Linked DNA regions of Alligator mississippiensis. The protein of the gene in region 2 interacts with the protein of the main gene of each other region in a pairwise test. Links are inferred from orthologs where the notes say so. Each region holds a gene or a part of one and is shown on either strand. Other genes may lie near its edges.

Region 1 (7,734 bases), on a different chromosome or scaffold from region 2:
AGTCAAAACGCAAATTAATTCTAGAGTGAAAACACTAAAGTTACACTTAAAAAAAAAGTTTTAAACACTCATGTCATCTTTAAAAAATTGCAATTTACTTATGACCATTTTTAGTAATAGTAGGTTGGAGTGCTATTGTAGCCACGATGACACAGGAAATATGGAAGCAACAGGTGTTTTGGTGATCTCGTTTATTGGACCAATGGTATACATTGTAGTTGGTCACAGAATGACCTGTGAAAGGGCACTTCGGGCCCAATAGCTTCTCTAACATTTCTCCCATTGGTCCAATAACAGGTCACCAAAAAAGGCCAACTGCTTTCACATTTTCAGAAATGACAATTCAGTCACCTCGCCAGTTGTATGAACCCTCCATCCCAAGTCACCACCATAGACCATGCTTTAAGTTTCTGCATCTAACTTCTTCATCTCTAATATGGAGATGTACAAGAAGAGACCAGAGTAGATATATCTTAAGTTTTATTAACTTATCTTGGATTTCAACTAGTTTCCTCCCACCATTTTTACAGGCAAAGGTCCACAGAACCTAGTAATCCTGGGCACAGTGTTTCCAAGTTATACAGGGCACCAAAAAGCACTCCCTTAACAGATCACACCTGGGACACAGAATTGGAGAGGAAGCAGTAAATGGCTTCCCTCACCAAGAGTGAGATGTGAAAGACTCTGAACCAGAGTATGCTCCCAGTCAAAGCCCTTTCTTGACCAGACTCCCTAAGAGATGGCAAGAACTAATGCACTTCCCCAAAGAACAAAATCTTTATACTGTTTTCTGTTTCATAATCTTCAATTTCTACATGGGAAGGCAAGGAAATGGTAAGAGGAGAAGGCTGAAACTATCTGTTGTTTGCTCCAGCAAAGGCATTCTTTCCAAGGGAGGCAGTCTGCCTGGCCCTCCACTAGGCCAATCCTATCATGTATTAACTTAAATAAAATGTCCAAGATGTTGATTTTAATAAGTGCTTGAAACTAGTCACATCAAACCATGCTCCTTTAAAAACAATCCCAAAGTTAACCTGCAGCAAGCATTACTCCAAGAGGTCCTGGACTCCATTTGCTACTAACTTTCAGAACTATGTACAGAACCATCAGAACCTGCTATGCAACTATTTGGTGGTGAAGAGACATGTGAAAAAGGGACCTTCTTTGGTTACTTCCGCTTGGAACTTAAGGTTCTGAACTGCATTAGGTGTGAACAGCTTCCCAAATCTGCAACAGAAGCATATGTCATTCATCTGCATTACCCCATGCCCCGAGGAGCTCAACTCTTAGGCCGTGTCCAGACGTGTGTTTCCCCAAGGACAAGTAGCAGTGGCACAGCTTGTGCTGTGGCTACTTGTCCCTGAGGAACGCCCATGCCATGCATGCTCTGGTGTGCAGTAGGTTATCCTAGATGAAGTAGAAGAGGCTGGGGCCAGCAACTATCCTGGCCCCAGCAGCCCTACCTGGGGTCATCAAGGATCTCCGACCGCAGCACTTCTGCAGCAGGGAGCTTGGCCAGTAACCCGTGTGGCTCCAGCTGATCAGGTTTTGGGCGGCACACACTGCTGTCACATGTACCACCCTGCTTTTTTTTGGCGTGGGTTCTTTTGACCCCAGGATCTCCTGGGGTCAAACAAAACCCACCACACTGCAAGGCAGGAGTCCAGGGAATACCTAAACATGCGGTGTGTGATGCCACAGATGCGTGCCACATACCACATTTCTGCTGGATGCACCTTAAACTTTACAACTTTTGAAACTGGAAGTACAGTGCTCACATTGACGAGAAGCTTCATGTGTTCTGCAAGCAGCGTTCATAATTTGTGTGGCCTTTAAAACGGTCTTGCTGCTGGTTCCAATCCTTAAATCTCCGAGAGTCACGCAAGCCTTAGGGCACCCTCCACTAGTTTTGATAAGATCCTTTGTTACCATCTTTCCGAGTTACCACTACTATTTGAACTACGCTCCTACCATTTAACAAAACCATTTCCTTACAGTTTCTACTGTTAACGGTGAATGGGCAACAATTCTTCTTCCTTTACCTGGCTTCAAAACTGAAAACAAGTCCCCTGCATAGATGGGGAACTCTTTAATTTTACACATGCCTGTCACTACACAACTATATCACACGTCCAAAAATGTTACCCCCAGAACTACAGAGCTGCACCACCAGGTGGAAGACACAAAATAAACATCCTTCGTCACAGGACACACAACTCATTATAAAGTTTGTGTTGATACCAGTTTAAACAAAGCAAAAAAGCAAAAAACACCCCTTTTCTCCACCCCTTTCATGAGCTGTTGCCAAGAATCATTTTCCCAACTATTCAGGTGGTCTAACAAGAGATATCGCATCTACCCGAAGATACTCGACTGTTCTACAATTCAGCCCCTTGCTAAGTGACAATACGTTTATGAAAACGTACAACCCCCGGGGTCAATCTGTGGAAAAAATCAAATCACTGTGGCTCAAACCCTGCATCGGCGTTTCCCAAACTCTTTCGCCCCCTTGAGCTCCCCGGCTCTTTGTTGCCGACAGAAAATTAACACAGCGGTGTTCCCGTTGCAAAGCAGCCCCGCAGGCCGCGGCGGGTCGGGCGTGCCTGCAGGCCGCGGCTCTGACGGGACACCTCGGCTGTCTCCCGTTTGCCCCCACAGTCCCCAGGGGACCCAGGCGGCCGAGATCACCCCTGCCCCGGCCGCCCCACGCGGCGGCCGCTGTGGCCCGGCCCGGCCCGGCCCGGTCCCTGCGGCGCGGTACCTACCTCCCGCGGCGGGACTCCGGCCCGGCCCCGCTGCCCGCTCCGGCTGACGTGGAACGGCCTTCCCCGGGCGGGCCACATCGAGCCTACGGCGGCCCTCACAGGACACGCCTCCTCCGAGCGGCGCACAGAACGGCTCCGCCTCGCACACGGGGAGGGAGTGAGAAAGAGAGAAGAAGGGAGGGGTGGGGGAGGATGCATACGCCTTGCGGGTGGGGAAAGAGGGAGTGAGAACATAACGCATGCACTCTGTACATTCGTTCTGAGCCCCACAGACGCTGCGGGGGGAAAGGGAGAAGAGGGAGCACGGCGCGTGCGCTCTGCGTGTTGAAAAAGCGCGTCTCCTGTCGGCTCAAGGTTCCGCGCATATACGTCTTTGCTCGGAGCCGCCTCGCGTGGGGTGGGAGGGGGAGCGCGGGGCCCGGCGGCTCAGGCCCTGCGCCCCACCCCCCACCGCGGCTCCTGCGTGGTGGCTGCTGGGGAGAGAGCTCTGCCTCTGGAAGGACACTCGGGGCACATGCGGGGTGGCTCCATGAGGCTGGAAAGAGGGCAGGGAAGCAGGCAGCCGGGGGCTGTAGGGGCAGCTTGGGAGAGGCAGGGATGTGTGAGAGCGCTCCCTTGTATTGAGGAGAGGCTGAGGGAGCCGGGCTCATTTAGTCTGCAGAAGAGGAGACTGAGGGGGGATTTAATAGCAGCCTTCAGCTACCTGAAGGGTGGTTCCAAAGAGGAGGGAGCTGGACTGTTTTTAGTGGTGGGCGATGACAGAACAAGGAGCAATGGTCTCCAGTTGCAACAAGGGAAGTCTAGGTTACATATTAGGAAGAATTTTCTCAGGAGGAGGGTAGTAAAACACTGGACCAGGTTACCCAGAGAGCTGGTGGAAGCTCCATCCTTGGAGGTTGCTAAGACCTGGCTAGACAAAGCCTTGGGTGGGATGATCTAATCCGGGGATGTCCTGCTTGGAGCAGAGGCTTGGACTATCACTGGTTCTCAACCTTTTTTGAACCAGGACTCATAGATGGCCAGTCCCGGCCCAGTGCCCCTCACTTGCAACCCACTGCCCCCAGCCCCACAGTGTGTGGGGCATGGGAGGACCAACGCTGAGCGGCAGGCCGGAACGCTGCCAGTCTGCAAGGGAAAAGCCACAGTTTCCCACATTTTTCTCCCTTAAAAGAGAATCCATGTTTAAAGTTCAAGCCCCAACAGTGTCATTGCTGAGCTGCTGGCACAGCTCTTTGAGCTCTCATAGTGCTCCAGACAGGTCCCTGAGGACTGGAAAAAGGCCAACGTGGTGCCCATTTGTAAGAAGGGGAGAAGGGAGGAGCTGGGTAACTTTAGGCCTGTCAGTCTTACCTCTATCCTTGGGGAAAATACTAGAAAAAATCATCAAAGAGCATATTTGTGAAAGCCCAGCAGGAGAAACAATGCTGAAAGGAAACCAGCATGGGTTCATCACAGGTAGATCCTGCCTGATGAACCTTATAGCCTTTTATAACCAGGTCACATGCTACCTTGACACAGGAGCAGAGGCCGATGTCATCTACCTGGACTTTAGGAAGGCCTTTGACACAGTGTCGCATCCTGTTCTTATAGGGAAGCTAACGGGTTGTGGAGTGGATGCCTACACAGTCAGATGGGTGGCCAACTGGTTTAGGGACTGCACCCAAAGAGTGGTGGTCGACAGGTCATTTAAACCTGGAAGGAGGTGGGTAGTGGGGTCCCACAGGGTTCAGTCCTTGGGCCAGTATTATTTAATATCTTCACCAGTGATTTGGATGAGAGCGTGTTGAGCACCCTTTCCGAGTTCACAGATGATACCAAATTGTGTGGTAAAGTTAATACACCGGAGGGCAGGGAGCAGATACAGGCTGACCTGGACAGTTTAGTTCAATGGGCTGAACGTAATAGGATGCAATTCAACAAAGATAAATGTAAGGTACTCCACCTAGGAAGGAGGAATCCCCAGCACACCTACAGGTTGGGGGATGTCCTCCTTAGCAGCTCAGAGGCTGATAGAGGTCTTGGAGTCATAGTTGAACATAAGATGAACATAAGCTGGCAGTGCAATGAGGTCATCAACAAAGCCAGTCGCACCTTGTTGTGTATTAGCAGATGCATGACCAACAGATAGAGGGAGGTTATGCTTCCCCTCTATGCAGCATTAGTCAGGCTGCAGTTGGAGTACTGTGTCCAGTTTTGGGCACCACACTTCAAGAAGGATACGGAGGATCTGGAAAGGGTTCAGAGGAGGGCCACCCGCATGATTAATGGTCTCTGTGAAAGACCCTACGAGGAGAGGTTGAGAGAGATGGATCTCTTCAGCCTATACAAAAGACAGCTGAGGGGTGACCTTGTGGCTGCCTATAAATTTATCAGGGGAAGACAGGGAATTGGGGATGCGCTGTTTACCAGAGCGCCCCAATGGGTGCAAACTAGTGGAGAGTAGATTTAGGTTAGACATTAGGAAGACATTTTTTACAATAAGGGTGGCCGGAGTCTGGAATGGGCTTCCAAGAGAGGTGGTGCTGTCACCTAACTTGGAGGGCTTCAAGAGGAGGCTTGACAATCACCTGGCTGGGGTTGTCTGACCTTGGTCCTCTTTCCTGCCAGGGGTAGGGGGCCGGACACAATGATCCATTGGGTCCCTTCCAACTCTAGAATCTATGAAAGTTTGTTGATCTATTTTCATAGTTTGTATGCAAGCCTTTCATATATTCTTGTGACCCACGGCTTGAGAAACACTAGACTAGATGATCCCGAGGTCCCTTCCAACCCTCATTTTCTATGCTTGGCCCAGTCATGTAGTTCAGTAGCATGTGCGTGTCCTGATTTTAATTGTGTTTGTAACCATAAGCATTTTAAAAAGGTTTTTATAGGTAACCTGCAGTTCACATCTGCCCCAGGCAGCTTCCCACCAAGTGTGATGATAGTGAATTTGACTCTTGGGCTCTGGCCACACAGGCATGGCAGGTATGATTGTGGGATCCAGAATCAGACCCTTTCATGCTTTTTTGCAGGTGCAGCAGGTATCTCAGGCTCCTCCTGCTCTGGCAAGTAGCTAGTTCCTGTGCTGGTAGCAGCTGATGGGGCTCCCAGCTATAGGAGCGCATCATGCACTGGGTTGTGAGCTGTCAGCTGATCCCAGCTCCCAGCCACGGGGTTGCATCATGTACTCCTGGGGTTGTGAGCTGTCAGTTGATCTGGGCACCCCACTGTGGAGGCACACCACCAGTTTTTACATTTTTTATGTAGAAACTTTGTGGTTTATTCCTTGTTTCATCACACCATTAATTGCATTAAAGTGGGTAACAACTTGAGATGTGATTAACTGGTCAGTCACATTTCAAGCATATTGTATGCCATGGGCCTTAGGATGTGTTTTAGGATGGGAAACTGCCTGGAATAATCATCAATCAATGTAAGCTGAATTGTGTATTTCTCACTCCTTTTCTGAGTTTTAAAAGTAGTTTCACTGTTCCTCGTTGCTACAAAAGCAACAGGGCACAAAAGAGATGTTTAACTTGGTACATGCTTTCAGACATTCTGACATTGGAAACTATCTTCTGTATGGGGACAGGTTAACAGGGTGATGGTATTGTGCATTGTGCCCACCTGTGATCTACAGCGCTACCTGCTAGAATGCCTGGAGGCCTGCTGACCGTCTGGGTAATCCAGCACAGTTGCTTCTCAAGGCTTTCAGTTTGTGTTGGGTGTGGGGGTGCCCACTCTAAAAACGTGAAGACTCTTCACCATGCCGCACCATTTGGAGTCAGCGTCTTGCTTCTTACGCTAACATCACTGTGAAGTTGCAGTTGTGATGGCCCAGGAACTGTGCAAGAAGCAAGCATTCCTAAGGGGTGGTATCTTTTATTGGCCCAACTGCTTGGTTGAGAGAGCTTTGGACAAGCTTCCCAATGCCAGTCATTCTTCCTTCACACTATCCCAAAATTGTTGCCTTTTTTAAATTGTGCAGTATTCTGCAACCAATAGAGCATATCCACTGAATTATTTCTTTGGGGTGACTGAGACAGATTTTGTCCCACTCCTAGTTCAACTCTACTCTTTAGTCAGTGCAACATACATAGCACACAGAACTGAAGAGCTGTCACGTGGCACCACATTGCTTGAATCCCAGGTTGCTTCAAGAGAGTCCTCTGGTCAGAGAGGTTTCATTTTGAGTTGTCTGAGGCAGATTTTGTCTCGGTTCCAACCCAACTCAGCTCCTTATTCAGTGCAATACACAGCACAAAGGCCTGAGGAGCTGTCAGGTGATGCCACATCACTTGCAAATCCAGCTTTGGGTCAGGCAGCATGCTATCCAAGCGTCTTCAGGAGATATCCCCACCATGGGAGAGGTGTTTGTGGTGACTCGACAGGTTTTGCCCCACAACCCCAGCCCAACTCATCTTATTCTACACAATGTATATAGGACAGGTGTGGAGAGCTTTCATATGGCACTATGTTGCAAAAATCAAGCTTCAGGTCTAGCAGCCCCTTTACTCATTTTTCTTCAGGGCTGCCCCTTGATTGTAGTGATTTGTTATACTGTGTCCCATTACATGTGTATGTAGTGAATTTAACTTTTAATTTCTATGGATGATGACTGGAGTACTTGATAAATTAGATTTTTATTAGCAAATGCATGTATTTGGTGAACTATAGAACCCTTTATCTTATCTCATTCATTGCCAACAAATTCAAAATTGTTGAAAGCAAAACACTGAAAAAGGAACTGGGATTTGTAAATAAGGAACCACAAACCAGGAACCAACTTTGGTACTCCACTTTCTGTTTTCACCATTCTCCAATTCAGTTTGGTTCCAATTCTTTTTGATTGCCCATTTGTTGGATTTGGGGTGTGCGGGGCAGACTAGAAAACATTTAATATTCTTTTGTAGCAGATCACCTCAAAACACTTATTTCCTTCTTCATAAATATCCAGCTTTCACAAATCCTAAAGTTTGCAAAGATC
Region 2 (7,842 bases):
ACCGCCCACTCTAAGCGCAGCCTCTAGTATCGGTGTACCTCTAGTTTCTATGCCCTTTTCCATCCAGCAAGATAAAGATAGTTAACAGGCCCTTTGTAAAGAGAGCAATATTTTTTTAAGATAAAAAAGCAATGAATCCTTTATTAATAAATTAAATTTCCTCACATCTGTTACAGTGGAATGTATTTCATTCATCACTGTAAGCAGCATATGGGTATCAAAGCATTATTATATATTAACATTGCTCAAATAAAAAGTGGAAAACAGAAATTTTACCTGTGTTTCATGATTCCAAACACAGACGCTTCCATTGTAAAGACTAGCTAACATCCATGGCTCTGTGGGATGCAAGTCTACACTCTTCACTCGGTCAGACCGAGCTGTTAGTTTTCGCTTAATATCAAGTCGGAGAGGCTATAAAATTAAGAACCCTAGGTTATTCAGTGTAAAACTGGCACTGAAAATCTTAACATATTTGTAACCCAACCAAATAAATGACAGGCCAAAAATATACCTATCTGATTCTGCTTTTCCAGGTATATACACATTATGGCTTTTCTCTTATCTTCTTGCTCTGATAAGAGATGTTTTGAAACATACAGGCACTGATTTTGAATGCAACACTACCACTGACCTCAGTGAGTCCCAAAGGAGCGCAAAGGATGTGTATTTCTCCTCTCACCTACTTGAACAATAACATTAAAAAAACAAAACCATGCATAACCTCATAATACTCTGCCCCATGTAGCCTTAAGCCCCAGAGTGGGTAAAATATGGCCCATGGGCCAGACCTAGCCTGCCAACTGATTCTATCCAATGCAGGTCATGGTGTGTAAAACCAATCCTGCTGTCCCCGGATGCAGAGATCCTATCTGGTGCAAAGCACAGCCCACCCTATCCCTACGCGCAGCTCTTGGGTATTCCAGGAGCTGTAGTCTGCAGGGCTGGGCAAGGGTGGCATGGCTGACACCAGCTTCCTGACAGACCCAGCAGCACTGGTTTCTTCTGGTTGCCACTGCCAGCATTTGCCACCAGAACTGGCCCTGCTGCCCAGGCACCCCAGCCTGCCTGCCCTGCACCTATTGCCAGGGGCACCAGATGGAGCAGGCGGATGGGCAGGGTCTCCATGGAGACCAGCCCAGGACCCCACAGGCAGGCACTCTCAGCCAGGCGGGTGGGATGGCGCCATGATTGGGCAGGGAGCAGCGTGCCAGTCACCCAGGAGAACCTGCTCACCTGGCACTCCTGCTGGAGGGTGTGGGACAAACAGGCCTGGGGTTGGATAGGACCAACTGGCATCTCCATGCCTCTCTCCTTCCTCCCCTGGCATGCAGGGTGGTATAAACAGCCATGATGGGACAGGTTGAGGCCAGTTCAACACTTCCTCCCCACAACCCCCCAGCCCTCAACAGCTCATCAAAGCTCCTTAAGTGTCCAGCCCAAATAATTACCCAGCCCTGCTTAAACTTCTACTGGCTGGCTAAATAAACGCTTCCAAGACAAAAAAGTCAGTAGATCTTAATATCTTTTCCTCTCTTGGGGCTTCTGCTGAGAACTCAAGGGAGAATGTCAGTTACCACAAAATATGGCAATTGTGTATGATGCAAAAACACTTGTCCATTATCAGCTGCCAAGCCAGATGAAACAAAACTGATCTTGACCTCTTTATTTAGGAGTGTTGGCAATCTGAAACTAAGTTACCTGACATTTTATGGGTATGCTATACCAAGGTATTTTTTTCCCTGGAGCATCTAGTATATGCCACAGAATGGAATATTCTAAAAAGAGCAAACTTAATTCTCAATAGTACATACAAAATGGGTTGACCTAGAATTGCTTGATTTAACAAGTTCTCTGGTGAAAGATTATCCTCCCAAATGGGTGAAATAATGCAATGTAAGCATTTGACTAGCTTCAAACTGAAAAGCAAAATGAGAACACTAAAGCTGGCATTAGCAAATATTAGACTTATTATATTTCTGAAATCCGGTAAACATTATTTCTTTCCTTTTAAAATATAAGTAGCTGACACACAGTTATAGCATATATAACCTGAAGACTCTCTCAGATACACACAGAACTTGTAACTCAGTGAGCTGGCTGAAGGCTTTTAATTTTTCACTTTCAACTCCCAGCCTGTAGGCCAAATCTGGCCCCTGGCATCATGTTACCTGGCCTGTGGAGCTCCCCAAGGCTGACAATTTAGCAGCCAGAGAGCAAAGGTGCGGCACCCCTGCTGTCAAATTTCCAGACCTGCGAGCCAGATATCAGAGCCCTGTGCAGTGCGGGGCCGAATTCCAGTGTGCACGGTGTGGCACACCAGGGCCCAATCCCACTGCACAGGGCTGGGCGGGGGCAGCGCAAGGCCCCAGGGTCCCCCCTGGCATGCAGGCCCTGATCCTAGCATGCAAGACCAGTGAACACTGCACCACAATCCCAGCACGGGGCTGGCAGAGGAAGCGTAGGGCCTGAGCCTGGCGCACGGAGCCCAATCCAGCCTGTGAGGTCAAAAAATTGAGCACAGTTGTCTTAAAACACAGTGGAAGAGACGGCTGTGCACATTTACTGCTTGAAGGTTTTGGGGACGCCTGTATTAGTGCCATCACGGCCCCAAATGACTCATCCTGGGAAAGCAGCTTCTGGTTGAGATGGTCTCGCAGCTGCCAGCTACTGGGTGACAGGGGCAGCCACTGGACAGCTGCCAGGGACTTGTGTGCTGCTGTCGCGGCCCCCAGGTCCCCGTCAGGGCAGCACCAGCAAGCGCAGCCCGTGCAGGGAGTCAGGGAGCCTCCTCGGGCGGGGAACGACGCAGCAGGCCAGGGTTGGCAAGAGGGCGCTCGTCGGCCCCCGGCCCCTTTACAAGCGTCAGCCTGTGCAGCACGGAGCGAGAGCCCCCCAACCCACTCCCGGCCCGGCCTGGCCTCACCATGGCTCCGGGGACGCCGCGGGGACGCCAAGGTGTTGCTCCCTGCTCCCGACACAGCGACGTGGAGCTTCCGCCACCTCTGCTCTCGCGAGACGCGAGAGACCGCCGAGAACATCGGACTTAGCCGCTCCCGGCCCCAAAGGCCGCGAGATCGAGGCGCGCCGGGAGCGAGGCACGACGGGGAGCACCGGCCGTTCGTGCCGCAAGGCGCTGTGCCACCGCGGGGGCTGCTGGGACTTGTAGTTCCCAGGGCTGCCGGCAGGTAGCTCAGGGTCGCGGGGGTCCTGGCGTACGTTATTTTGGGCGGCTCCGGACGCGCTCCCACGGCCGCGCCTGAGCGAGATTCCAGTGCACATCAGGCGGCTCGCAGCTCTGCTGCTCCTGCCGGGCAGGTTGGTCTCCGCTCCGCCTGACCCAGCTCAGGCCTAGCGTGCGCCTGCGCCTCACAGACTCGCCTAAGTTGCAGTCCTCCAGCGTCCCAGGTTGCAGTGTCCTCCCCCGCGCCCCTGTGTGGACAAACTTCCTACCGCAGAGCTCTGCTGCCCGGGGGCGGTCCTGGCACCAGCCCGCTCCCTCGCCGGCCCCGTGCGCTGGGGCTGCCTCCCACCGCCCGGCCACCCTGGAAAGCACGACCAACAAATCCCCGTTTATTAAAACATGGGACCTTCTTTAATTTACTTCTTCATTTCTTTTTAAATTCCTTCCTTTTTAACTTTTTATGTTATCCTTCAGCGACTGACTTGAGTCATTTCGCCACCCTTCCCTCACCCATTTCCTGTCCACCTCCCAGCTTCATATCCCATCCTGCCCTCACCCCCAAGCAGGGATACAAGCCTGTCCTGGCTCACCAGCCCCATAAAGCAGGACTTCCCAACCCCTGGGCTGTGGCGGTGTAGGGCCGCGAACGGTTGGCTGCCTGTCCACAGGAGGGCCAGCCCATCCTATCCTGTGGTGGTGGCTGCCACAGTTGAGGTTTGGTTCCTCCCGCCCGCCCGCCAGGTGGAAGTGTCTTGACTGCTGTTCCAGCCACAGGGCCCCACGCGGTGTCACCGGAAGTGACCGTGAACCAGCAAACTGTGGACTGGAAGTGACTGGCATACGGCGGACCAGTAGCCAACCCTTTTTTATACTGAGTATAAAAAACGTTGTCTGCTAGTTCGTGGTTTCCAAGTCAGTAGCCACTTCTGGTCTGCGGTTTCAGTCTTCAATCTAAAAAGGTTGGGAGCCCCTTCGTAGAGGCAACTTGCAGCTATAGCACCTAGTTAGACCCCTGCTTGCCAGCCCTCTAGTGGCAAGTCACAGCACTGCCGCTGGGGATGTCAGAGAAGGTTTTTAATGTGACCGCTCCAAACACAAGCTAGCATTAACACTGATCAACATTTGTGTGGCTTATGGTGTAAGGTGTAACAAGGCCCTAATCCCGGTTGACATTTGAGCAGATCAAAGTGAAATGTGTAACAAGACCCTTGATCATGGTTGTATCGAGGGTGTAACAAGATCATGTGTAATGAGACCCTCGATCAAGACCTTCATCATAGACAAGCTATAGAGACCATGATCTGAGCACACCCTAAACTCTGGGACTTTGCAGCCAATTTCATGATACCTGGAGTCTGACTCATGCATCTTAAACAGTTGAGGCTATTATTATTGTAGGGCTTTGGGGCAGGTGGAAGGAGAGAAGAGCCAGCAAAAAAAAAGATCGGGGTGGTGAAAGCAGGAGTTTTAAAAAACATGGGGAGAAGAGAAGTTATAGTGGAGGGTCAGGAACAGACATTACACATAAACTGGTTTAAATGATCAGAAACTGGTTTAAACCTGTAACAGAACAGACACTCAATGCACATAAACGAGTTTGAAAATGGCTGAAACTGGTTTGAGATAAACCTGGTTGAATGTAGTACCAGAATTAATTTATTTAGGCATTGGTGATGTGTAGGGGGTGCACATGCATCCCCTGATATTAGCGATGCACCCCTTGAGACTGGCCGGTGTCGGTGGTGCCTGCGGGCAGTCGCCACTTACTACCCTCCCCCCTCGCCACCAACACCACCAGCGGTGTCTGTGGGTGGTCGTCAACCACTTGTCAGTGCTCACCACCCCATGCCCCGCTGCCAACATTGCTGCAGCCACCTGCAGGAGGTCCCTGTTCACTGCTGCCACACCCCTGCTGCAGCTCTGGGCGGGGCTCTCTGCTCCAGAGCAGGGCTGGCCTCTCCCCTCTACTCCGTGGCTGGAGCTCCAGCAGAAACAACAGGCACAGCTGCCTGGCTTCCCTGTGCCCCTTCCTCCCACCACCACTCCCTGCTCAAGCAGGGATTCCCCCCTCCTCTCTCCCACAGCACGGACCATAACCAGCATGGGGTCAGCTAGGTAATGCTGAGAGGTGTCTGTGTAAGGCAGATAGGACAAAGGCGAACAGGACAGAGTCCACTTAGGGCTTTCTGGAGCTAATTAACAGGTCAGCAGGTACTCCATTCCTTCCTTGGAAAAAGTTGTTTAAGAAGAGCTTCAACTGATGAGAGAAGCTTTTGTTTTCTTGTTGGGCTGATAAATGCTGTGTAACTCCCTGCTGACTCCCTTGCTTGTCAGGAGCAGCAAGGTGGGGAGGGGAAGAACTCCTCCCTCCAGCTCTCCCAAATTAGAGCATCCTGCCAGGGAAGGGAAGGGAGGGATGCTGTAGCCCCACCCAACTTGAGCCACTGTAGGCATGCGCCTGCATTTTTTCAGTCCAGAAGGGATGTCTTTCCCGTTACTAACTGGTTAAGTCTAGCCAAGTTAGCCTGACCTGAAAAGATTGAATCCATTCAGGCTCAAGCTTTTTGAATGCTTTTCCTTAGCTGAGGAGTTCTTTTTCCTACAGCAAGTCCTGTCCAAAGAAGGGAGAAGATTTAAAAAGAAGTCTAAAGCAAGTTTCAAAGCAGCTGCTGATAGTGCACATGGGTTCAGTAGGGGAAGGTGAGAGAAGGATGTTTAACAAAGAAGAAAACAGCTGAAGGAGGAAGGAAGGAATTTGCAGTGGCATGAAATCAGCCTAGTTTGTGAATTCCTGCCAGAGACCCTTAATGTTTTAAAACCAAAAGCACAGAAAATTAATATAAGGGATGAACAAGTTCTGAGAACTAAGAAGGAAGACCTTGAGCGACTGACAAAGGATTTGAGAAATGTTAATATACAAACTATTCGCCTATTATTTGTTACAGGTATTTCTCACATTAAAAACGAACAGGCATGTCAAAAAGCACAATGTGAAACTGGCTGTTGTTTTAAAATTTTCGATTGCACACTTGGTCTTCACAAATTAGTTCCCGTACAGTATTAAACTAGCTGGAACATATTTACTGTTGCAGACTATATTTCCCTTATATGGCAGCTCCTCTTGAAAAGTCACCAGACTAACTGAGACACCCCATTATACATTGGTTATACTTAAACCAAAAAGAAGAAAAAGAAAAAAACAGTGATTTTACATAACTGATTGGCTGATGTGCACTGCAGGCTGCAGTAATTTATTTTTGATACTTCAACTAATTTTTTAAAGGCATAAAAGTGTAATAAAATTGCTCCATAATAAAGTATGCAAAATCCTGCCATTATTAAAATATGTTATAATTTACTGGATGCACTGAAGTAAAGCATAACTTACAAAATGAGGTTATAAGTTCAAGAGTAGTTAGTAGAAAACAATGATAGAGTGTTTCATCAGACTGGTTTTTTAAATCAGACTTTAATATAACCTTTTAATATAACCGGTCTGTTAGAACTTCTTTTTCCAAGATTTCAGCTTCAATCCTAGTGCTAATGATTAGAACTTTAGGAGTAACACTATTGCCAAGTTTTGGATTTGAATGATAATAGGGGAATAAAATTGCCTCTCAGCTGGATGGGACACTGTTTTTTGTTTATTCATTCATTCATTTTCCAGTTGTACAAGTTTAAGATGGCATAAGATGCCATCGCAAGCATCTGCAGTGTAAATACTTAAGTATTAAAAGTAACTTCAACAAGAAAGGAATACCAGTGAAAAAAGGGAAATGTCTAAAAACTGTTCGAGTAGATTTTCAAGTCCTGAGGGTTCAGTGTTTCCCTGCTCTGATTATTTTCCCAGTACTCCAGCATTACTGCGAGGATTCTCATTTATTTTTCCAGGCTGCTTATTTTCTCTGAAGGCTCATATGGCATTTCTCAGGATCACGGCATTTCTCTTTGAATCCCAGTTTACTAACTCAACTTGTTTAGATTCCTTGTCCCTGTCCCCACCAGAATAGAATGAGATAACAAACAACCTATAATGCAACTAAGTTCCCCTGCTTCTTCTGGGAATTGTTTTAGGATCTTAAGTATTCCATAATTCTTGCTAGAACTTTGTTTTGTAAAAGCAAATATTTTCCATTGATTTCTTTTTATCAGGTAAGTATTACAGCTTACTACTTAAGTAAATATTTCAGATCCAGAATTAGTTTGAGGTACTATTATGGGGAGGGGTTAATGGCTGCAGTACAATGAACTGAATCAAAACTCACCACAGACTTAACAGGGAAGAAGGTGAAGATTAATTGAGCACACTAGGTGTAAGGAAAAGGTGTTATTAACATTAGGTACCAATGTTGTACAAGACAAAAACAATGTAAACCTAAATAATAAAACTCGTAAACTGTAGTACTTCCCTCCTGTAGTCTCATTTAGGGGTGCACTGATAGACATTTTGGGGGCTGATACTGATAGCCGATTTTTAAGGAGGCATATTGATCCGATTTCCGATACAGCTGAGTCCAGCAGGTAAGTATGTTGTGGTGAAAGGGGAGAGGGAGACAAGGGGTGTGGGAGGGCAGATCAATGCTCCCCATGGTGAGGAGGGAATAGGGCTGGGGCAAGTGCTGCCCAGCTGAGGCAGGGTGGGCACGGGCAGAGCCATG
Region 3 (7,935 bases), on a different chromosome or scaffold from region 2:
GTGAGTAGTACTAATTGTCCCCGTGAATTATTTCATATATGAAGCATCTCAGAGGCAGGAATCAAGACTTTCTTTACGACTGAACAGCCCTCAGCATATTGTGTTAATCTGGGATCCTAGTTTTCTCCAATTTAAAAAAAACAAAACAATTTCTAGATTTAAAAAAGCAATCCAAAATCCATATCTTTCTGTGATTAAAAATGAAAACCACTAATATATAGATATCTATAGTGCGGTTTCATTTTAATCACAGAAAAAATGTGGATTTTGGGTTACTTTTTTAAACCACAAATGGGAGATTCTTTTTTTTTAATCAGAGAAAACCAGGAACCCTTATGATTACTACCATAAAAGAAAAGCAGACAGAGAGTATTTCCTCTACAGAAAATGAGGCAAGGTGCATAACAATGACTTATACTTCAAGTTACACTGCAGGAAAACTTACATGGTGGAAGAAGGTGGTACGAATGTAATCCAGGTGTCCCAGCAGGGTGAAAAGGCAGCGGCGTAGCTTATAATTCCAGACCTGGACAACAATAAAACAAAACACTGTGAGAGGCTTGCCAAACTCAGCCCCGATCCTTGCTGACAACTTGTTCTGGACCTGCAAGAAGCCAGCTGCCTCACAGACTATAGTCTCTTTCATTTTACATGACCCGAGTCAAGTGAGAAACAGACCTCATCACTAAGTTTAGCTCCCCGTGATGCCCTCCTGAGCTCAACTTCACCATTTCCATTGTCTTTTGATTTTTTATTATTAGGCTCTAAGCTTGCACGCATGTTTCACACATTTTACAGCTTTCCCATGCTCTACTACACACCCTGACTCTTTGGACAATGGGAAGTAGGAAGGAAGGTTTTACCTTGATTTTGTAGTCATCACCTCCAGAGACAAAGAGAGGTTGCTGTTTGTGGAAATCAATACCACGGACAGGTCCTGCAAGGGGAAATGGGGCATGTGAGACACAGGGATAGAGCTAATAGTTACATCAGCAGTCAGCGCAAGCTATCACTTCACTTGAAGAAGAGTGCAGCTCTATCACTTCCTACTGCGTTTCAATGGATGAAGTAACGCCTCAAAGTGACAGAGCAGCTTCCTAAGACCTCCTCAAAGCAAGTTTTCTTCTCTCTACTGGGCTTTTCTAGCCACATCAATATAATACCTAAGAATCTATTACACGTCCAACAAAGCTATCCTTAAGACACCCCTGTAAAGCAAAGCAGCATTATCTTCATGTTACAGCTCAGGAACAGTGCAAAGAGCAAGTAATTTGCCCAAAGCCAAAGACAGAATATGCAACACAGCTAGAATTAGAAACTAGACCTCTGGAAGCCCAAACCTGGGAATCAAGTAAAAGATCACGCTTCTTCCCCTCACATGCTTGTCATTTTCTGCAAAGTGCCTGCTGCACTTCAGTCTCTTCCTGAAGTGTTATCTCCTACATCCCCCCCTACTCCAGCTCACACACTCACCATCGTGCTCATCAAATTTGTCAATGAGGGTGCACATCCGGTAATCCCACAACTGGATCACACCATTGTGCAAACTTGTTAGGATCCAGGGCCTCTTTGGGTGAAAGCTGAGCCCTAAAACAGACAGACAAAGAAATACATAGGGGTCAAGTTTCCAGTTAAGTGCAAACTCTGGAGACAAAGATAGCAGTGGAAGCAGGGAAGAACCAGTCATCTGGACCTGCCAGGTCTCAAACACAGGATACAAGTGGCTGTTAAACTCCCAAAGAGGAAGCATGCAAACATACCTTGCTGGGAGGTTCATAGGTCATAGCTGCTGAGAGATTTATTGCATCATAGTTCTGATTACAAATGAGTTTCAGCAATAAGAACGAGGAAGCATCAGCTCTCTATGAACATTTGGAAATAAACCTGGCACAGCCCAATTGAGATGCTTAAAAAGCACATCCTCAAGCACCACATAGAACATGATCATCATCAGTGTTAATTTTCAGGCTCTTCTCACCTTGAGATACCCCAAAGGGGCCTCAGGGTGGGTAGAAGTCGTGGAATCACAGACAACGAGGGCTGGGAGGGACCTCAGGAGGTCACATCAAATCCAAGCCCCTGCTCCAAGCAGGACCAGCCCCAACTCCATCATCCCAGCCAAAGCTTTGTCTAGCCAGGTCTTAAAAACCTCCAAGGATGGAAATGCCACCATCTCTCTTCCACCTTCCTAATAAGACAATTTTTCCTAATATCCAACCTAAACCTCCCATGCTGCAAGTTAAGACCATTGCTCCTTGTTCTGTCATTTTCAAAAAAAAAAAAAAGAAAATTCAGGTCCTTCCAAGGGGCCACAATCAGGCACCTAAAAGCTTCACTGAAAACATCAGCTAAGGGCTCCAAGATAAAGGCAGGCTGCTTTACTCCCATGTGCCGCCAATGGCTTTTTTTAAAGCCTCCCAGCGCTGCGGGGACGGATGTGCAGACAGAAAGCAGCAACTGTCACCGGTGGTAAAAGATATCACTGACATCTACCACCCACGAGCTCGTAACACCGGCCTAGAACCAGCAACGAGCTAGGAGTTAACAAACATTAAGAGACACCAGACCCAGGGGTTTCAGGAGACTGGCGCTGCCAGCCAGGCCCCGGGGCTGGACTGATAACACCCCTGATGCCAGCTGAGAGGGGCAGACGCTGGGGCAGATGCAGAGGGCAGAGGCAGAGGCGGGGGCAGGAGGCAGCAGCAGGGGGGGGAAGAGAAACCGGGGTCAGGACTGGGGTGTGGGGGAGCCCACGGGAGGCAAAATAGCGTGTGAGGGGGGGCATGGAAACTGGGATGTAGGTTGGGGGAGGGGGGGGTGCAGGGGATGGACATAGGGAAGAGTGGAGCAGGGCGCTGGGATGGGCCCGATCCTGAGAAGCGCCGTGCTGAGGGAGGGGCCTGGACTTGAGGGGAGGGTGCTGGGATGGGCCCGATCCTGGGGAGGCCCCGTCACCTTTCACCCGGGCCGACTTGGTCTCGAACTTGGTGAGCATCGCGACCCGGCCCCGACGCCCTCCTCGGCCTGGCCTCCACGTCGGCACCGGAACTGCCCCACGCCGCCACTTCCGCTTCCACCCCGGCCCGCCGGAACCATAGAGAGCGAGTCCTCCGGGGCGGAAGGAAGGGGTGGGGGGGTGCGTCGTGCGCAGGCGCACTACCCCCACCCCCTTTTCCCCCGGGCAGGGGCGGAAGCGGAAGTGCCAACCAAGATGGCGGTAGCGGCGGGGCAAGCCGGGGGGCTCCGGCGGGCGGGAGGAGGAGGACCCGGAGCCCCGTGGGGCGGCGGGGCGCTGCTCCGCGGGATCCTGCTCTGTGTGGCGGCCTCGGGTGAGTCTAGCTGAGGTGACCCCCAAGCAAAGCCCTTGGCCGAGGGCGACGGAAAGCCGGGCGGTTCAAACAACGCTGCTTTGCGTGCTGTTTTTCCCTCCCTCCCCCAGAGCACTGGGCTTGGCTCGGACCTCAGGGCAGGACCACGCTCAATACGAGACCGCGTCTTCCCCTCGCTCTCCTGACTCGCAGGTTCCTTGCAGGCGAGCCCAGCTTCAGCTGCGAGACTCGAAACGTTCGTTTCGAGGCCGTTTCAATGCCCTTCGTTTCGTTGCTTCGCTTCGAGCTCCAAACGAAGCAGCCGGCAAAACTTCGCGTAGCCCCGTGCTTCCTCCCGTGCGTTTCCTTCTGCCGGCCGGGGTGGCGCTGCCTGCTTGTAAAGTCGACCGCACGATTTTGGCGGATACAAAGCAAAAGTGGCAGACTAACTGACACGCTTAACGTGGCTCCAAGTGGGTTTTTAGATGCTGTTGCGAAGCATTATAAAGCAGACAGGCAATGCATTGACATTTTAAAGGTATGCCAGAGGCAAGGAGTTTGGGGTTTATCTCTTATTGGACCAACTGCATGGTTGGGATAAAGCTGGACACGCTTTTGAATGCAAGGTGTTCTTCCGATGGTCAAAATGTACAGAAGATGCAAAGGCTTGGTGAAAGGTGGATTCTCGCCGCTCCTGTATCAGGAGGATCATTGGTGATCAGTTTGCAACTCAGCCTGAGACCCAGCTGCAGGGAGTCGGCGGTGAAAGCCTGCCTGGCTGGGAGCAGCTATAAAGGATAACCAGGAAGTGCGGGTGGGGATAGAGAGGGAGTTAAGAGCTCCAGAAGCGAAGAGCAAGAGGGAGGAGGTGGTGGTGCCTGGGGAAAAGTACAGAGCCTGTCTCACTCCTCCCAAGCTCTGAAGGAAGGCTGCAAGTTTGGGGTTTGCCATTTGCATGTTTGCTTGGTTTGTTGATTTTCTTTTTTTTGTGGGGACAAGGCTGCCCCATGTAAAATAAACTGTCTGGAAACCTTGAACATGGTGCTGACTGGCTTTAATAAGGAAGCTGGGTGAGTGACCTGCTTCCAGTCATGATAGTAGAGAGGGAAATGTGGGCATACGAGCAGTGTGACCTTATCTGGAACATCCCACTAAAGTGGGTGGTGCGATAAAAGAAATTGCTCCCCGAAAATCCTTGCCTCTGGATAAAAGAGCTCCTGGCTCCCAATCCTGGCATGGTCCCCTGAAGCATTTTTTAGTGGACCCATCACGGGTGTTGTGTTTCTGACGTGCATTTGCAGTGATCATCACATAGTGCTCTTTGCTGATTTTTTTTATTTTTTTTTTTTTATTCCGTGTGTTCCTAAATAAACCAGTCAATGTACGTTCAGTATTTTTGGGCAGGGACAGAGGTAACAATTGTCAAAGAATGCTAAAAAATAATCTCTCCATCCTGTTCATCTTCAGTTTTGTCCTGCCTTTTCAGGTTCTTGTTGGGGTAATTCTGTGGAGAGGAAAATCTATATTACCTTAAATAAGACTGCCCCATGTGTTCGTCTCTTGAATGCTACTCATCAAATAGGCTGTCAGTGTAAGTATGACCGAGCACTTGTCTTTAGCAGTTCTTCTCCTTTAAGCTGGGAGGATGCAAGATAAGGGAGACGTGTGTACACCTTAAACATATGGGAAACCCTCAGATCCTATGCCTTTTCTGATCAGAGTTGTCCCAGAAGCAGACGCAGTTGAAAGAGTAATATAATGTAACTGTTTGCTTTGAGTTTAATCAGTTGGGCATCTTCCTTTTCCTCTCATGTCTCTAGGCTAGTATTTTAAAGCTAGATAGGTTATAAGCTTAGTTTAGTTTTGACTTTGTGCATGTGTGTGTTTGTGTGCTGTCAAGGTTTGGGGTTTCTTAGGCTGGGAAGAGGAGGAAGACAAATAAGGAACGCTGATTTTGAAGGGTTTCCACATTGTGGTTGGTGAAAGGGCTTCCTGCCAGTTAGCATGTTGCTGATTTGTGGTTGAACATCTTGTTTCCTCAGTAGAAGCTTTGCCCCACAGTGGATCTTGTCTGCTGTGGTTAAAGGATGGAAATGCACATGGTCTAACAAATAAGCTAGCATAGAGGGGTTCTCCAGCTCTTCCAGGCCGTGGGGTGAGCCATGGTTTAATTCAGACTGCCTTCTAGTCTCCTCCCTTCCAATACCCAGGAGGTGTACAGCTTTGAGGGAAATGGATTTCACTGAAACATGGTGATGTTGTGCATGTCTCTCTGCAGCCTCTATTAATGGAGATACAGGAGTGATCCATGTGGTTGAGAAGGAGCAGGACCTGAAGTGGGTGCTTTCAGATGGACCCCATCCTCCATACATGGTCCTGCTAGAAGGGGAGCTCTTCACCAGGTAATGGGCCACTGTCAGTGCTAACAATTATTGACCCTCCTCTCCTCTGAGATGACAAACAGGGGCACTGTAATTTGGTGGCCAAAACTCTGATTAGGACTCCAAGGAGAGATGCCTGTGGCTTTTTCAGTAGCCTCAGGTGGAATTTTAACCCAAGCAGGGTGTTTGAGGGACAGCCTTCCCATGGCTCATTTTATGGGTTGTTGCGCCCTTGCCACCCTCCAGAGAAGGCAGTGCTGAATATCGGTGCCTTGTTTAAAAAAGCATTTGTGCATTTGATGCGAGTTAGTACCTTGCTTGTTTGTCTTAATGGATGGTTTAGTAGTTCGAACAAAACTCAGGAGCCCAGTTCTACATCCATGGCAATTTGTGAACCCTCCTTAGGGTTGCGTTTACAAGCACTGGTAGAGGCTGTGAGGAAGAGCTTTAACGTGTAGTATAGAGCCTTAGCATAGCCTTGGAGGAATTATTTACATCTCAGCCTTTTTGGTAAGGTTTTGTTTTCCACTACAGTTTGAATTTCTATCTCTTTCTTCCTTCAGCACAGGATGTCATTTAAAAAAAATAGTAATGTTTAGGGAAGAAAAGGCCCTTTTCAGGGAGGGAAGCAGCATGTCAGTAACATCAATAACATTTGTCTGTTTTGGCTCTCGTTCCTATTGTCAGATGAATGAAGTCCTTGGCCATCTCTCTTGGACTTGACATTTGAGCTGAGAGATGCAGTGCCCAACCCACTTTCTTGTCCTGTCTGGGTCCGCAACTGGCCAAGTGGCCTGAGTGGGGGTGGGGAAATGACCTTCCCAAGGGGCTTGACACATCATCCAGCTGGGTGTCAGCAGTGCAAACCATGCAAGTGCTACATCACTGATGAGGATGCACGGTCAGCTTCATCTTTCCTTGATTTCACTTGGTGGTACCTGATCCTGGTCTGTGCCTAGGTCATGGTCCTATGCAGTACGTGGGTATTGGCTATCTGGAGTTGTGCTTATTCCCTCTGTTTTCCTGTTTCCTAAAGAGTTCTTCCTGGTGTGAACTGTGAGTGGGTGATGGAGTGGATTGTGTCAGTGGAGTAGGTGAGCTGTGTATTTAGTGTTCCAGTCCACTGCTTAATGATCGTGTAACCTCAGGGAAGTTGCTTTGTGCAGCCATGAGACATTAAAAAGTACAACTCTCAGGAATGCCGCAGGGACTTCATGAATATTTTTATTTATTTTAATTATTTTTCATGAGGGTCTTTGATCCTTTCACTGTCTTCCCCTCTGAGATCGGTAGAGTATGCTGGTCTGTTTTACCCCCATTTCTTTTTTTTTCTTCCAGGGAGCTATTGCAACAGCTGAAGGGAACCTCACGAGTTTCTGGGCTGGCTGTGGCCCTCTCCAGACCGAGTCCTTTACCAGGATTCTCCCCTGGCTTAAAATGCCCCAATGATGGGTTTGGTAAGGAAACATTTCATCCTTATGGTCGCTGGGGAAGGTAGCATTTCCTGGGTGTGTGATCAAAGTGGGAAGGAGCTTGCCAATTGGCGAGTTTGGCATTTGCTGAATGCTCAAGTTAGGATTCGGGCTTGGTGCACGCTCTAGGCATGAGTCGCTTGTGCTGGACTTCTTCAGAATTCAGAAGCACTGGGGTAGGAGACTTCCAGAGGGGCCTGAGAGCTCCAGGAAATAACATCAGTGGTTCTGCAAAGAGATTGTAAGGTTTGGGGGGTGGGGATTGGGTTTTTTCCCCCCTTCTGTCAGAGCTGACTTAGTCTTCCTGCTGTTTGTCTTTTGGATGAGACCTAAAACTCATCCTGACCACTCATGGTCATTAAAAGAACTTGTGACTGTTCCTGCAGAGCTGGCGTGTTAAACCCACATCCCTGGCCAAATTTCAGCATGCTTCACTGCCTCTTTTTATTCCCTCTGCATTTTCAACCATGCACTTGTTTGATTGGTTGTTCACTATTTGTCCTAAACTATTGCCACGTATTGCTAACCCATGCTGTACATCCTACCTTAGAAGTGGCTGCATTTTGCTGGGTGAAGAGATTCCCTCGTTCTGTATAATCTGTACTGTGCTGTGGGGGTGCTCTGTGGTGAAAGGTGCCATGTAAATGCACAGAATTCGTTTTAGTGTGGTATTTTTGCGTTTGTCATACCCTTCACTTTATGGTGCTCATGCAGTGTTAGTGGCTGGCACCTTATAAATGCCTTAGAGGTATGTTTATCTCATGACAGAGCTCA

What was found.
Region 1: the proteins of COPB2 (region 2) and COPB1 interact in a two-hybrid assay, tested with the Homo sapiens proteins (2 studies listed by BioGRID, with this or other methods). The link is inferred for Alligator mississippiensis from reciprocal best matches to the Homo sapiens genes COPB2 and COPB1.
Region 3: the proteins of COPB2 (region 2) and COPA interact in a two-hybrid assay, tested with the Homo sapiens proteins (2 studies listed by BioGRID, with this or other methods). The link is inferred for Alligator mississippiensis from reciprocal best matches to the Homo sapiens genes COPB2 and COPA.

Annotation. Positions count from the first base shown.
Region 1 is NC_081825.1:195,519,979-195,527,712, reverse strand, and holds the start of COPB1 (coatomer subunit beta), read right to left. Parts: upstream 3,042-7,734; 5' UTR 2,766-3,041; intron 1-2,765. UniProt on the Homo sapiens protein: The coatomer is a cytosolic protein complex that binds to dilysine motifs and reversibly associates with Golgi non-clathrin-coated vesicles, which further mediate biosynthetic protein transport from the ER, via the Golgi up to the trans Golgi network.
Region 2 is NC_081830.1:45,473,485-45,481,326, forward strand, and holds the start of COPB2 (coatomer subunit beta'), read right to left. Parts: upstream 3,037-7,842; 5' UTR 2,930-3,036; coding exon 2,927-2,929; intron 415-2,926; coding exon 277-414; intron 1-276. UniProt on the Homo sapiens protein: The coatomer is a cytosolic protein complex that binds to dilysine motifs and reversibly associates with Golgi non-clathrin-coated vesicles, which further mediate biosynthetic protein transport from the ER, via the Golgi up to the trans Golgi network.
Region 3 is NC_081838.1:15,764,697-15,772,631, forward strand, and holds the start of COPA (coatomer subunit alpha), read right to left. Parts: upstream 3,064-7,935; 5' UTR 2,996-3,063; coding exon 2,956-2,995; intron 1,588-2,955; coding exon 1,474-1,587; intron 938-1,473; coding exon 864-937; intron 527-863; coding exon 446-526; intron 1-445. Other genes in the region: NCSTN (nicastrin), read left to right, coding at 3,212-3,329, 4,795-4,899, 5,587-5,710, 7,028-7,146. UniProt on the Homo sapiens protein: The coatomer is a cytosolic protein complex that binds to dilysine motifs and reversibly associates with Golgi non-clathrin-coated vesicles, which further mediate biosynthetic protein transport from the ER, via the Golgi up to the trans Golgi network.